Linked DNA regions of Anolis sagrei. The protein of the gene in region 1 interacts with the protein of each later gene in a pairwise test. Links are inferred from orthologs where the notes say so. Each region holds a gene or a part of one and is shown on either strand. Other genes may lie near its edges. The genes, in order: PTK6 and FCHO1.

Evidence for each region.
Region 2: the proteins of PTK6 (region 1) and FCHO1 interact in binary tests that used the Homo sapiens proteins (3 or more experiments, as listed by UniProt). The two-hybrid records come from large-scale screens. The link is inferred for Anolis sagrei from reciprocal best matches to the Homo sapiens genes PTK6 and FCHO1.

The regions. Positions count from the first base shown.
Region 1 is NC_090024.1:236,441,644-236,449,516, reverse strand, and holds the start of PTK6 (protein-tyrosine kinase 6), read left to right. Parts: upstream 1-4,822; 5' UTR 4,823-5,102; coding exon 5,103-5,341; intron 5,342-7,873. UniProt on the Homo sapiens protein: Non-receptor tyrosine-protein kinase implicated in the regulation of a variety of signaling pathways that control the differentiation and maintenance of normal epithelia, as well as tumor growth.
Region 2 is NC_090034.1:62,482,785-62,490,479, reverse strand, and holds the start of FCHO1 (F-BAR domain only protein 1), read left to right. Parts: upstream 1-4,562; 5' UTR 4,563-4,632; intron 4,633-7,695. UniProt on the Homo sapiens protein: Functions in an early step of clathrin-mediated endocytosis. Has both a membrane binding/bending activity and the ability to recruit proteins essential to the formation of functional clathrin-coated pits.

The DNA.
Region 1 (7,873 bases):
TCCCAAATGTCAAGATTCTATTTCCCCACACTCCACCAGTATTCACATTTGGGCATATTGAGTATTCGTGTAGAATTTGGTCCAGATCCATCATTGTTTGAGTCCACAGTGATCTCTGGATGTAGGTGAACTACAATTCCAAAACCAAAGGACACTGCCCACCAAACACTTCCAATGTTTTCTGTTGGTCATGGGACTGCTGTGTGCCAAGTTTGGTTCAATTCCATCGTTGGTGGGGTTCAGAATGCTCTTTGATTGTAGGTGAACTATAAATCCCAGCAACTACAACTCCCAAATGTCAAGATTCTATTTTCCCCAAACTCCACCAGTGTTCGCATTTGGGCATATTGAGTATTCGTGTAGAGTTTGGTCCAGATCCATCATTGTTTGAGTCCACAGTGATCTCTGGATGTAGGTGAACTACAACTCCAAAACCAAAGGACACTGCCCACCAAACATTTCCAATGTTTTCTGTTGGTCATGGGACTGCTGTGTGCCAAGTTTGGTTCAAATCCATTGTTGGTGGGGTTCAGAATGCTCTTTGATTGTAGGTGAACTATAAATCCCAGCAACTACAACTCCCAAATGACATCATTTTTTTGAGTGAAGGACATACATTGGGTTGTTAGGAGTCTTGTGTCCAAATTTGGTGTCAATTCGTCCAGTGGTTTTTGAGTTCTGTTAATCCCACAAACGAACATTACATTTTTATTTATATAGATGAGAATCTGCACTGATAGGATTGATGCAGTTTGGTACCATTTGGGCATATTGAGTATTCGTGTAGAGTTTGGTCCAGATCCATCATTGTTTGAGTCCACAGTGATCTCTGAATGTAGGTGAACTACAACTCCAAAGCTGCCACTGCTCAAGGCCATGGGATCCTGGGATTTGTAGTTCGGTGAGGAATTGTCACTCTTTGCCAAAGAATGCAGAAGACCTTGTTGAACCACAACTCCCATGATCCCATAGCCACGGCAATTAAAGTGGTGTTGAATGACATTAATATTTCAATGTAGATACGCCTCTTAAAGAGGAGAGCAGGCTATGTGTATCTTCTCTGTGCATTCTCAGAGGCATTGTGTCCAGTGTGTTTACATTTCACATGCCACTTCTCGGTATCAAGTAATGAACAAGACCAGACTGGAAAAAAAGAAAGAAAGAGGAACCAGGCTGGCTGGAGAGATTGCCATTTATTGCAGCCTCTTCCTTGACTCAGAAAGAAATTCCACTGACGTCAATGGGGCATTCCCCTCAGAATTAATTCCTTGTGCAACTCTGGGCACGCCCACATTGTGGAATTAATGCAGTTCGACACCGCTTCAACTGCCGTGGCAATCTGTTCCCAAAAAACATCCTGCAGAAAAAGTATGTGTGTGTGTATATATGTATGTGTGTATATATATATATAGGCCTAAATGCCCTGAAGACACAATGATTCCTCTGACCTTGGCTGCTAAGCAGTTTTTGCCGTGGTTAGTACTTGGATGGGAGACCAGCAATGAATATTTATTTATTTATGACATTTAATGCTGCCCATCTCATCCCGAAGGAGTCTCATAGCGGCTTACAAGTTATATGTACATACAATATATTATATTATTAGCATAGCACAATATTAGCATTATATATTACTAAATTGTACAACACAATACTATAATATTATTTGTAATATTACATGTAATATGAAATATAAAATTGTTATATTGTATTATTATTAGCATTATATTATGTTACATTATAATATTATCAATATTATAGCACAATATTAGTATTATATATTACTATATTGTACTATACCACTATAATGTAATATTAGTAATATTACAGGTAATATAGAATATATAATTATTATAATGTATTATTAGTATTATATTGTATTACATTATAATATTATCAATATGATATGTGTATACAATATATTATTAGCACAACACAATGTTGGTGTTATATATTAAATTGTACTATACCACTATACTGTAATATTAGCAATATTGTATGTAATATGAAATATAAAATTATTATAATGTATTATTAGTATTATATTGTATTACATTATAATATTATCAATATTATATGTGTTTACAATATATTATTAGCACAACACAATATTAGTATTATATATTACTATATTGTACTATATCACTGTAATGTAATGTTAGTAATATTACATGTAATATAGAATATATAATTATTATATTGTATTATTATTTGTATTATATTGTATTACATTATAATCAATATTATATGTGTACAGATATATTATTATCACAGCACAAAATTAGTATTATATATTACTAAATTGCACTATATTACTATACTGTGATATTATTAGCAATATTACATGTAATATAAATATTTTATTATTATTATATTTTATTATTAGTAGTATTACATTGTATTACATTATAATATAATCAATATTATATGTGCATACAATATATTATATTATCACAGCACAATATTAGTGTTATATAGTACTATATTGTACTATAGCACTATAATGTAATATTATTAGTAATATTACATGTAATATAAAACATATAATTATTATATTGTATTATTAGTATTATATTGTATTACATAATATTATAATATCAGGTGATGCCGTCTTTAGTTCAAAGGAAGGAAGTCTTCGAATCATAGTTGGAAGGGGTCACCAAAGGCCATCCAGTCCAACCCCATTCTTCCATGCAGGAAGACACAATCAAAGCCTTCTCGACAGATGGCCATCCAGCCTCGGCTTAAAACTTTCCAGGGAAAAAGCAGCTAAGGGGAAAAAGGAAAGGGCCTGAGGCTGTTAGGAATTGTAGGAGTTGAAGTCCATAACACCTAAAGGGCCGAAGCTTGCCCATGCCTATCTCTCCACAGCACACACAGGTGTTAAAGCACACCTTTTTCAATGAACCTGGAAAGACTGAATGCCAGCAGGTGTAGCTCTTCACGCTGCGCCTAGTCATCACGAGCTAGATTTTAAAGCCATCCCTGTCGAAATTCCCATTTAGGAACACGCCTACCTTGACTCACATCCTTTCTCCGTCTCTCTACAGGGTTTCAGGTGAGATGGTTTCCTTAGCACTATCTTTCGACCAACAACCACTAAGCAAGTTGGATCCTGCCTCGCTTGGAAACCAGATATATTCAGAAGGAAGTGAGTCCAACAGAACCCATCATCCCCAGCAAGTGACAACTAATGCATCTCATATAATGGTGGGGTGATTAGCAATCTTAATCCCCTCTGGAATTTTAGGATGAATGTCGGGATCTAGTTGTTGACCTGGAGATCCCAACATCCACTGTGTTGACTTTAGGAACGCTGGGAGTTGTAGTCTTAAAAAAAATCTGGAGAACTGCATGACATAACTGTCAACTGTCCTGATTGGGTAGAGGCAATCCAGATTTGTTGTTGAAAGCTTTCATGGCCGAAATCACAGGGTTGCTTTGAGTTTTCCTGGTTGTAAAGTCATGTTTCAGAAGCATTCTCTCCTGATGTTTTGCCCACAACTATAGCAGGCATCCTCAGAGGTTGTGAGGTCTGTTGGAAACTAGGCAAGTGGAATGTCCAGGGTGGGACAAAACACTTGTCTGTTGGAAGTGAGTGAATGTTGCAATTGGTCACTTTCATTAGCATTGAATTGCCTTGCAGCTTCAAAGCCTGGCTGCTTCCTGCATGAAAATGAACAAAACCTGGCTACCAGTATTAAAAAACACTAAAATCAGGACAATAAATAAAGAACAACGCATAGAAAACAGGGGAACTCCAGACAGGAAACAACCAGGGAAGCTAACACTTCAAAGGATTCCCCAGACAGGAAGCAGCCAGGCCTTGAAGCTGCAAGGTCATTCAATGCTAACCAAGGTGGCCAATTGCAACATTTACCCTTGCCTCAAACAGACAAGAGTTCTTTCCCCCACCCTGGACATTCCACAGATATATAAATCCCACTTGTCTAGTTTCCAACAGACCCCACATCGCAAATGCATTTGGCGGGGATGAGAGGCAGGGCCTTCTCGGCTGTGGCCCTTCGCCTGTGAAGCACAATCCCAAATGAGATAAGATTGGCTTCTTCCCTCCTCGTTTTCAGGAAATTGAAGTTGTGGTTTTGGGAACAGGCTTTTGGACTTTGACTGGAAAGGCACTACAGCTGATGATACTGCTTATTGTTTTAATTAATGCTTTTTGTAGTGTTTTAATTAATGTTTTCCTGTATTTTAATTATTGCAGGATTATTGTAATTGCTTATATGTAGCGGCATGAAATCGTTGCCAAATGTAAGCCATCCTGAGTCCCCCTTCAGGGATAGAGAAGAGACGGGGTAGAAATACTGGAAATAAATAAATAAAGCTCTGAGGATGCCTGCCATAGATATGGGTGAAACGTCAGGAGAGAATGCTTCTGAATCATGGCCATACAGCCTGGGAAACTCACAGCAACCCAACAATCCTGATTAATATTCCACAGTCCCACTTTTTCTATTTTTCTTTTCAATATCCAAGTTATTTCACTTGCTGCACTGACACTGTCGAATCAGTGCAGTTTGGCACCATTTTAACTACCATGGCTAAATGCTGCAAAACCATGGGAGTTGTAGTTAGGTGAGGCCCCAGCACTCTTTGGCAGAAAAGGAGAAAGATTATATAAAACTACAACTCCAAGGATTCCAAAGAATCTAACCATGGTATCAATCTATGTTAATTTTGCAATGCAGAGCCAATCCAAGCTTTGCTCCAGAGCTGAAGAAAGCCTTTTGCATTGTTGTTGTGTGTCATCACCTCACCGCCTTCTTGTTCTTCCTCTTCTTCTTTTCCCTCCTCCCTCGGTTCAAGGAGCAACAACAGGGCAGGGCTGGGATATATATTACGACTTCTGTCCCATAAAGAGGAAGCCGAGAAGGGTTTCCCCCTCCATTTCAAAGTCTCCGCCTGGCAGTGATTTACTACCTACCAGTAAGCCAACGCAACAGGTTTGCAAAGACTTCCTTGTATTATACCTCCAAGAAAACTGCAGCTGAAGAGCATGGCTTTCTGAGAAGCAGTTGTGCTCATAGTGAAACTGTGGTGTTTTCTCCTCTTGGGCTTTATCTTCTTGACCTGGGACCATCATGAGCTCCAAGCCAGAGCCTCCAAAAAGGAACCGAAGCAAGATTTATACCAGCTTGTGGGATTTTAAAGGAATGACGGAGAGCGAAATGAGCTTCCGGGCAGGAGACCTGTTCCAGGTGATAGAGAAGACAGGAGATTGGTGGTGGGCCAAGAAACTGGATGCCTTGGGCAAGAATTCACAAGAAGGTTATGTCCCCTCCAACTACTTGGCCAAGCAGGAGACCGTGGAAGCGGAACCGTAAGTACTGACTATTGGACATGGATTTGAAAGAAGCGAGGTTTCATGTGCTTTGGACTTATTTATTGTTTATTTATTTATTTACAGTATTTATATTCCGCCCTTCTCACCCCGCAGGGGACTCAGGGCGGATTACAGTGTACACATATATGGCAAACATTCAATGCCAATTTTGACTTACAACATATACAGACATACAAAGAGGCTATTTAACTTTTTCTGGCCACCAGGGGAGCTGTCGCTTTCATCGTCCATCTGCAACGCTGATGAAGTACTTCCGCATTCCCCACATGCTTTTTTGCTGGAGGGCTTTGCTGGAGTCTTTTTTATGGCCTCATAAATTAGTTACTTTAGCCTTCCCACACTTTAAGGTGGTACCTAATTTTCCTGCTTGACAGATGCAACTGTCTTTTGAGTTGCAAAGGTCGACAACAGGCTACACAATTGGTTGGAAACCCACTCCAACCTGGGCTGGGTTCAAACTCATGACCTTTTGGTCAGAGTGATCTTAATGCTGCTGACACTCAGCCCGCTGCGCCACAATCTCTCTCATGCCTCTCTCCATCTTTCTGTGCTGCACTTATGAAAGTTGGGTAGATATGCAAAAGTAACAGAAGTACAGCACAACCCCTGTATCCACAGGACCAGTATTCACAGTTTGATTTAGTGGTAAAATATGTCCTCCTTATGCATTTTTAGGTCCCCCAGCATGAATCTATATCAGTCATGGGCAAACTTGGGCCCTCCAGGTGTTTTGGACTTCAACTCCCACAATTCCTAACAGCCGATAGGCTGTTAGGAATTGTGGGAGTTGAAGTCCAAAACACCTGGAGGCCCCAAGTTTGCCCATTTCTGATCTATATGTTGTTCTTGGTTTTGAAGTCTTTCATTTAAACAGCAATTATCTGCAATTTTATATATGCATGCAAAGATTTGGAACGTATCCACTGTGTATATTCTATAAGAGCCATATAATATCTTTATATGGCACTTTGGTAATAAAAGAATTCTTTTTTCAGCTGCTTTAAAAAAATCCCAATTTTTCTCTTCCATTGCTATTTTCGCCATTTATTCTCAACCTACTTCAGTTTCTGCAAACAGTGTCAAACATGCTCTTTATGAGGTCAAAATTTGTGTGCATTGTGGAATCACTGCAATATGACACTACTTTAATTGCCATGGTTCAATGCTATAGATCCACAGCTGTTTTTACAAGGCCTTTCACCTTCTGTGCCAAAGAGTGCTGCTGCCTCACCAAACTACAAGTCCTGGGATTTCATAGCAATGAGTCATAGCAGTTAAAGTGGTATCACGCTGCATTCATTCTGTGGTGTAGATGCACCTTCTGGGAGAGGAGAGGAGAGGAGAAAGAAGTCTTGTTCTTCCCTGTAAACTCAACCAAAGGCAAACTGCTGCAGTCTTTCCAAACGTCTCTATTCCTCCATGTCCACAACTTTTTGCCAACTTGATCACTTCCTGGTGTTGTTTGACCACATGTCTCAGGTTTTAATTTGTGAAATGTTGGAAGATTTGGACTGATAGATATGGAAAACAAGCAGAGGTGTACATTTATATTGAACTTCAGTTACTGAGAAAAAGCATGCTAGTGAATATAATAAGGCTGCAATGCCACTGCAAGAATGTCATCTAATCCACTTTGCACCAACACACTTCGACCAAAGAGACTAGGAACATGATTTGAACATGAGCTAAAATTCAGCCCACTCATTTATTTATTCATTTGGTGGCGCAGTGGGTTAAAGGACTGAGCTGCTGAGCTTGTTGATCGAAAGGTCACAGGTTCAATTCCGGGGAGCGGCGTGAGCTTCCGCTGTCAGCCCTAGCTTCTGCCAACCTAGTAGTTCTAAAACATGCAAATGTGAGTAGATCAATAGGTACCGCTCCGGCGAGAAGGTAACGGTGCTCCATACAGTCATGCCGGCCACATGACCTTGGAGGTGTCTACGGACACGCTGGCTCTTCGGCTTAGAAATGGAGATGAGCACCACACCCCAGAGTCAGACATGACTGGACTTAATGTCAGGGGACTACCTTTACCTTATCTTTATACCACCTTTCTCACCCCTGGAGAGAATCAAGGCAGTTTACAACATATTAATGGCAAGAATTCAATGCCAACATACAATAAAATAAAATCACAATAATTCTAGAAATCTGAGTGCTTCTGCTGTTAGGAAGAGTTAAAAATATGCTCAGTGCAGTTTAAAAGCATTCTTTGCAAAGTTTCTCACTTAGAACCATGACTATAGATAGAACTGTGGTGCAGCTTTCCAGATCTGGCTGGCAGCAATCCTCACCATTTGGTAGGGCTGCCGGGATTTGCAGTCAATCCCAGGAGGGTTGTCTAATTCCCATTTTAACAGAGAACCACAGAGCTGAAGAGGAATTACTGATTTCCATTCCAACCTGCTGTCAGAGAGAGAGAAATGATTTCTATCTATTGTCGAAGGCTTTCATGGCCAGAATCACTGGGTTGTAGGTTTTTTCGGGCTATATGGCCATGTTCTAGAG
Region 2 (7,695 bases), on another chromosome or scaffold:
GGGCTCTGATTACATTTTCTTGCCCTGGTGAAGAGAGTTGGACTGGATGGCCTTAAGTATTTTCTGTTGGTCATGGGGGTTCTGTGTGGGAAGTTTGCCCCATTTCTGTCATTTGTGGGTTTCAGAATGCTCTTTAATTGTAGTAAACTATAAATCCCAGTAACTACAAATCCCAAATGTCAAGGTCTATTTCCTCCAAACTCCATCTGTGTTCATATTTAGGCATATGGAATATTTGTGTCAAGTTTGGTCCAGACCCTTTTAAATAAATAAATAAATAAATAAATAAGATCCATCATTGTTTGAGTCCACAGTGCTCTCTGGATGTAGGTGAACTACAACTCCCAAACTCAAGGTCAATGCCCACCAAACCCTCCCAGTGTGTTCTGTTGGTCATGGAAGTCCTGTATGCCATGTTTGGTTGAATTCCATCTTTGGTGGAGTTCAGAATGCTCTTTCATTGTAGGTGAACTATAAATCCCAGCAACTACAACTCCCAAAATGTCAAGGTCTATTTCCCTTAAACTCCATCTGTGTTCATATTTGGGCATATGGAATATTCGTGCCAAGTTTGGTCCAGATCCATCATGGTTTGAGTCCACAGTGCTCTCTGGATGTGGGTGAACTATAATTCCCAAACTCAAGGTCAATGTCCACCAAACCCTTCCAGTTTTTTCTGTTGGTCATGGGAGCCCTGTGTTCAATTCCATCATTGGTGGAGTCCAGAATCCCCTTTGATTGTAGGTGAACTATAAATCCCAGCAACGACAATTCCCAAATGACAAAATCATAATGTTTTGCGTGATGGTCACTCCTTGTGTTGTGAGACGTTTTGTTGCCAAATTTGGTGTGATTTTGTTTATTGGTTCTTTTGTTTTTAGGGAACTCATTATGCACAGAGCATTTATATAGATAGATAGAAGACTGATAGATAGAATATAGATAGAGAGATAGATAGATAGATAGATAGAAGATAGATAGAAGATAGATAGATAGATAGATAGATAGATAGAAGATAGATAGATAGATAGATAGAAGATAGAAGATAGCTAGACAGAAGATAGATAGATAGATAGATAGATAGATAGATAGATAGATAGATAGATAGATAGAAGATAGAAGATAGCTAGATAGAAGATAGATCGATAGATAGATAGAAGATAGATAGATAAATAGAAGATAGATAGAAGATAGATTAGATAGAAGATAGATAGATAGATAGATAGATAGATAGACAGACAGATAGAAGATAGATAGAAGATAGAAGATAGCTAGATAGAAGATAGATAGATGGCTAGATAGATAGAAGATAGATTAGATAGAAGATAGATAGAAGATAGATAGATAGCTAGATAGAAGATAGATAGATAGAAGATAGCTAGATAGAAGATAGATAGCTAGATAGATAGAAGATAGATTAGATAGAAGATAGATAGAAGATAGATAGATAGCTAGATAGAAGATAGATAGATAGATAGAAGATAGCTAGATAGTAGATAGCTAGATAGATAGAAGATAGATTAGATAGAAGATAGATTAGATAGAAGATAGATAGAAGATAGATAGATAGCTAGATAGAAGATAGATAGATAGATAGATAGAAGATAGCTAGATAGAAGATAGATAGCTAGATAGATAGAAGATAGATTAGATAGAAGATAGATAGAAGATAGATAGATAGCTAGATAGAAGATAGATAGATAGATAGATAGATAGATAGATAGATAGAAGATAGATAGATAGAAAATAGATAGATAGATAGAAGATAGATAGATAGAAGATAGATAGAAGATAGATTAGATAGAAGATAGATTAGAAGATAGATAGAAGATAGATTAGATAGAAGATAGCTAGCTAGCTAGCTAGATAGAAGATAGATAGAAAATAGATAGATAGATAGAAGATAGATTAGATAGAAGATAGCTAGCTAGCTAGCTAGAAGATAGATAGATAGATAGAAGATAGAAGATAGCTAGCTAGCTAGATAGAAGATAGATAGATAGAAGATAGATAGATAAATAAAAGATAGATAGAAGATAGATAGATAGAAGATAGATAGATAGATAGATAGAAGATAGATAGAAGATAGATAGATAGATAGCTAGATAGATAGAAGATAGATGTTTATAATATAATGTAATGTAATGTATGTGGGGCCCCCGGTGGCGCAGTGGGTTAAAGCACTGAGCTGCTGAGCTTGTTGATCGAAAGGTCGCAGGTTCAACTCCGGGGAGCGGCATGAGCGTCCGCTGTCAGCCCTAGCTTCTGCCAACCTAGCAGTTCAAAAACATGCAAATGTGAGTAGATCAATAGGTACCGCTCCGGCGGGAAGGTAAGGGCACTCCATGCAGTCATGCCGGCCACATGACCTTGGAGGTGTCTACGGACAACGCTGGCTCTTCGGCTTAGAAATGGAGATGAGCACCACACCCCAGAGTCGGACACGACTGGACTTAATGTCAGGGGACTACCTTTACCTTTACCTTAATGTAATGTATATACATAGAATATTTATAATATAATGTAATACAATATAATACTAATAATAATAATGTAATATTATAATTATATATTTTATATTACTAATAATATTACAATAACAGTGACAAATGCAAGATACTCCACTTTGGCAGAAAAAACGAAATGCAAAGATACAGAATGGGGGACAATGCCTGGCTCGAGAGCAGTACGTGTGAAAAAGATCTTGGAGTCCTCGTGGACAACAAGTTAAACATGAGCCAACAATGTGATGTGGCGGCAAAAAAAGCCAATGGGATTTTGGCCTGCATCAATAGGAGCATCGTGTCTAGATCTAAGGAAGTAATGCTACCCCTCTATTCTGCTTTGGTTAGACCACACCTGGAATATTGTGTCCAATTCTGGGCACCACAATTCAAGAGAGATATTGACAAGCTGGAATGTGTCCAGTGGAGGGCGACTAAAATGATCAAGGGTCTGGAGAATAAGCCCTATGAGGAGCAGCTTAAGGAGCTGGGCATGTTTAGCCTGAAGAAGAGAAGGCTGAGAGGAGATATGATAGCCATGTATAAATATGTGAGAGGAAGCCACAGGGAGAAGGGAGCAAGCTTATTTTCTGCTTCCTTGCAGACTAGGATGCGGAACAATGGCTTCAAACTACAAGAGAGGAGATTCTATCTGAACATTAGGAAGAACTTCCTGACTGTGAGAGCCGTTCAGCAGTGGAACTCTCTGCCCCGGAGTGTGGTGGAGGCTCCTTCTTTGGAAGCTTTTAAGCAGAGGCTGGATGGCCATCTGTCAGGGTTGCTTTGAATGCAATATTCCTGCTTCTTGGCAGGAGGTTGGACTGGATGGCCCATGAGGTCTCTTCCAACTCTTTGATTCTATGATAGATAGATAGATAGATAGATAGATAGAAGATAGATAGCTAGATAGATGATAGATAGATAGATAGATAGAAGATAGATAGATAGCTAGATAGATAGAAGATAGATAGCTAGATAGATAGAAGATAGATAGAAGATAGATAGCTAGATAGATAGAAGATAGATAGATAGATAGAAAGAAAGAAGATAGATAGATAGAAGATAGATAGCTAGATAGATAGAAGATAGATAGAAGATAGATAGCTAGATAGATAGAAGATAGATAGATAGATAGATAGATAGAAGATAGATAGAAGATAGATAGATAGATAGATAGAAGATAGATAGATAGAAGATAGATAGCTAGATAGATAGAAGATAGATAGATAGATAGATAGATAGATAGAAGATAGATAGATAGAAGATAGATAGATAGAAGATAGATAGCTAGATAGATAGAAGATAGATAGAAGATAGATAGATAGATAGATAGTAGATAGCTAGATAGATAGAAGATAGATAGCTAGATAGATAGAAGATAGATAGAAGATAGATAGATAGATAGATAGATAGATAGATAGATAGAAGATAGATAGCTAGATAGATAGAAGATAGATAGATAGAAGATAGATAGAAGATAGATAGATAGATAGAAGATAGATAGCTAGATAGATAGAAGATAGATAGCTAGATAGATAGATAGAAGATAGATAGATACTAGCTAGCTAGATAGATAGATAGAAGATAGATAGATAGAAGATAGATAGAAGATAGATAGAAAGCTAGATAGATAGAAGATAGATGTTTATAATGTAATGTAATGTATATACATATAATATTTATAATATAATGTAATACAATATAATACTAATAATAATGTAATATTATAATTATATATTTTATATTACTAATAATATTACAATATAATGGTATGGTATGATATAGTAATATATCATACTGATATTGTACTATGCTAATAATATAATATATTGTATGTATAATATATCTTGTAAGCCGCTCTGAGTCCCCTTCGGGGTGAGAAGGGCGGCATATAAATGTAAACACAAGACAATGTAAGGCAGGCCTGTACGCGCCTGCGCAGAAGCGCACGCCAATAGCGGGATGGAAATAGGGCCGCTTCTCCTTTAAGCATGCAAATAAGCCCAGCGGGGCAGGCCAATCAGGAGCGCTTGTGCTCCGCAGGGGTGGGGGGGGCTGGCTGTGCCCGCTCCCCGCCTGGTTTTGTGTGCAGAGGACGCGGCGCAGGTGCGGGATCGGCGCGCGACAGGTCGGGGGCCGGGACACACCCCCACCACTGCGGGGAGGGAGAGAGGGAGGGGGCTTCATTAGCCTTGAAAGGGAGGGGGTTTGCCAAGGTGCATGCACACACACACACACATATATATAATAGTATGTGCATCTAATTTGCATAGATGTACATTATCATAGTGTTTTGCAATATTTTATGCATCCATATGTGTGTGTGTGTTGCAAGGGCATGAAATGTCCATCTTATTTGCATAGATTTGTCTAATTGTACATTTTTGGTGTGTGTGTGTGTGTGTGTGTTGACAACCACCATAACAGATGCACACTTCATGTCATTACAATATATATATATATATATTGTAATGACATGAAGTGTGCATCTGATATGGTGGTTGTCAATTTTTTTTTGCATGCTAATATATGTGTGTGTGTATTGCAATGGCATGAAGTGTGCATCTTAGTTACATAGATTGGTCTAATTGTACCTTTTTTGCATGTGTGTATATATATATATATAGTAAGGACAGGAAGTGTGCACCTTATTTGCATATATTTGCATAACAATTGTGGCGTGCACGTTTTTTTGCATACTCATACGCTCCCTGCATTGTCTATCGTCTATCTATCGTCAAAACAACATTCTGTTTATTATTTATTAGTATACAAATAGCTTATATGGTCTAGTGGGGAGGGAGCATTAATACACAACAGTCCCATTTCATATTATCTTTATTATTCTTTTTATTGTTATTATTATTTTTATGATACTATTGTTATTTTATTGATTATATTATTTATTAGTATCAGGAAGTGTGTCGAGGTACTGCAAGTCCCATTGTCCAAACCACACCAAGATGTTGAGTTGGTCATGGGGGCTCTGTATGTCAAGTTTGGTCTTGATCGGTCATTGGTGTGGATCACAGTTGTCTCAGGAAGTGTGTCAAGGTACTGCAAGTCCCATCATCCATGGGCCGTCATCCCACAGACCACACCAGGATGTAGAGTGGGTTATGGGGGCTCTGTATGCCAAGTTTGAGCTTGATCAGTCATTGGTGTGGATCACAGTGGTCGCAGGAAGTGTGTCAAGGTACTGCAAGTCCCATCATCCATGGTCCATCATCCCACAGACCACACCAGGATGTAGAGTGGGTTATGGGGGCTCTGTATGTCAAGTTTGGTCTTGATCAGTCATTGGTGTGGATCACAGTAGTCTCAGGAAGTGTGTCAAGGTACTGCAAGTCCCATCATCCATGGTCCGTCATCCCACAGACCACACCAGGATGTAGAGTGGGTTATGGGGGCTCTGTATGTCAAGTTTGAGCTTGATCAGTCATTGGTGTGGGTCGCAGTCATCTCAAGAAGTGAGTGAAGATACTGCAAGTCCCATCATCCATGGTCCAAACTCTTCCAAACCACACCAGGATATTGAGTGGATCATGGGGATTCTCTGTGCCAAGTTTGGTCTGAGTCAGTCATTGGTTTGGGTCAAAGTGCTCTCAGGAATGAGTGAAGGTACTTCATGTCCCATTGTCCATGGTCTATCCTCCTCCCGATAGCACCAGGATGTAGAGTGAGTCATGAGGGCTCAGTGTGCGAGGCTTCATCTTGATCAGGCATTGGTGAAGGTTGCAGTGGTCTCAGGAAGTGAGTGAAGTTACTGCAAGTTCCATCATCCATAGTCCATCCTCCTCCAAACTGCACCATGATGTAGAGTGGGTCACGGGGGCTCTGTGTTCCAAGTTTAGCCCTGATTCATCATTATTGGGACTTGTAGTGGTTTCAGGAAGTGAGTGAAGGTACTGCATCTCCTATCATCCATTGACCTATGTCCCCCAAACCTCACCAGGATTTAAAGTGGGTCATGGTGGGTCTGAGTGGCAAGTTTAGTCCAGGTCTCTGATTTTTGGGGACCACAGTGTTCTGTGGGAAGTGAATTGGGTGAAGAGACTGTAAATCCCATTATCCATGGTCCATCCTCCCTCTAACTACACCAGGTTGTAAAGTGGGCCAACTTTGGTCTTGATCTGTCATTGGTGGGGGTCGCAGTGGTCTTTGAAAGCTTACGTTTTTGGAAGTACTGCAGATCCCATCATCCATGGTCTGTCTTCCCCTAAACCATGTGCCAAGTTTGGTCCAGGTCCGTCAATCGTGGGGGGTCGCAGTAGCCTATGGAAATGGCAGCCAATCACAAAGCTGCCACATACCCGCACCGCCGCATACATAGGAACACTGACTTTATTATTTAGTTAGATACAGATAGATGTGTGTGTGTGTGTGAGTGTGTAATTATGGCCATGTGAATTTTTGGGAACACTATTATTACTATTATATTTATTATTAGTAGCAATATAATGATAATTATTGCCGTTATTATATTATATAGTAGTGTTATTATTTATTATGTATATTACTATTATACAGTGTGTGTGTGTGTGTGTGTGTGTGTGTGTGTGTGTGTGCATTTATGTGTTTGTGTGTATGTATATATACATTGTGGCCATGTGAAGTCTTGGGAACGATTATTATTATTAGATACACAACCAGATTAGGACACAGCAAACAAGATCACTCTGCTGGCTGTTGTATTGGATCACACGTCAGACACTTCCCAAGTGTGTGGGACTGTGTGATGTATCGGCGAATAATGCGTGCAGATCCAAGTAAGATGGCCTTTTGCAGCTGGCAGATGGTAATTTTGTCAGCACCGATTGTTTTCAAGTGCTGACCAAGGTCTTTAGGCACTGCACCCAGTGTTCCGATCACCGCTGGGACCACCTTGACTGTTTTTTTTAATATTATTATTATTATTATTATTATTATTATTATTATTTGAAACACAACAAGATTAGTACACAGCAAACAAGATCACTATGTTGGCGGTTGTATTGGATCACACGACACTTCCCAAGTGTATTATTATTATTATTATTATTATTATTATTATTATTATTACATGTTATTCTTGCCCTTGGCTCTTACTTGATTTTGGATGTTTTCAAAGCCGAAAGGTTGTGGTTTCCTCTTCCTCTTCTGCTGCTTTTTGCAGAGGCAGCTTTTGAAAGGGCCCGTTTTCTTGTTTGTT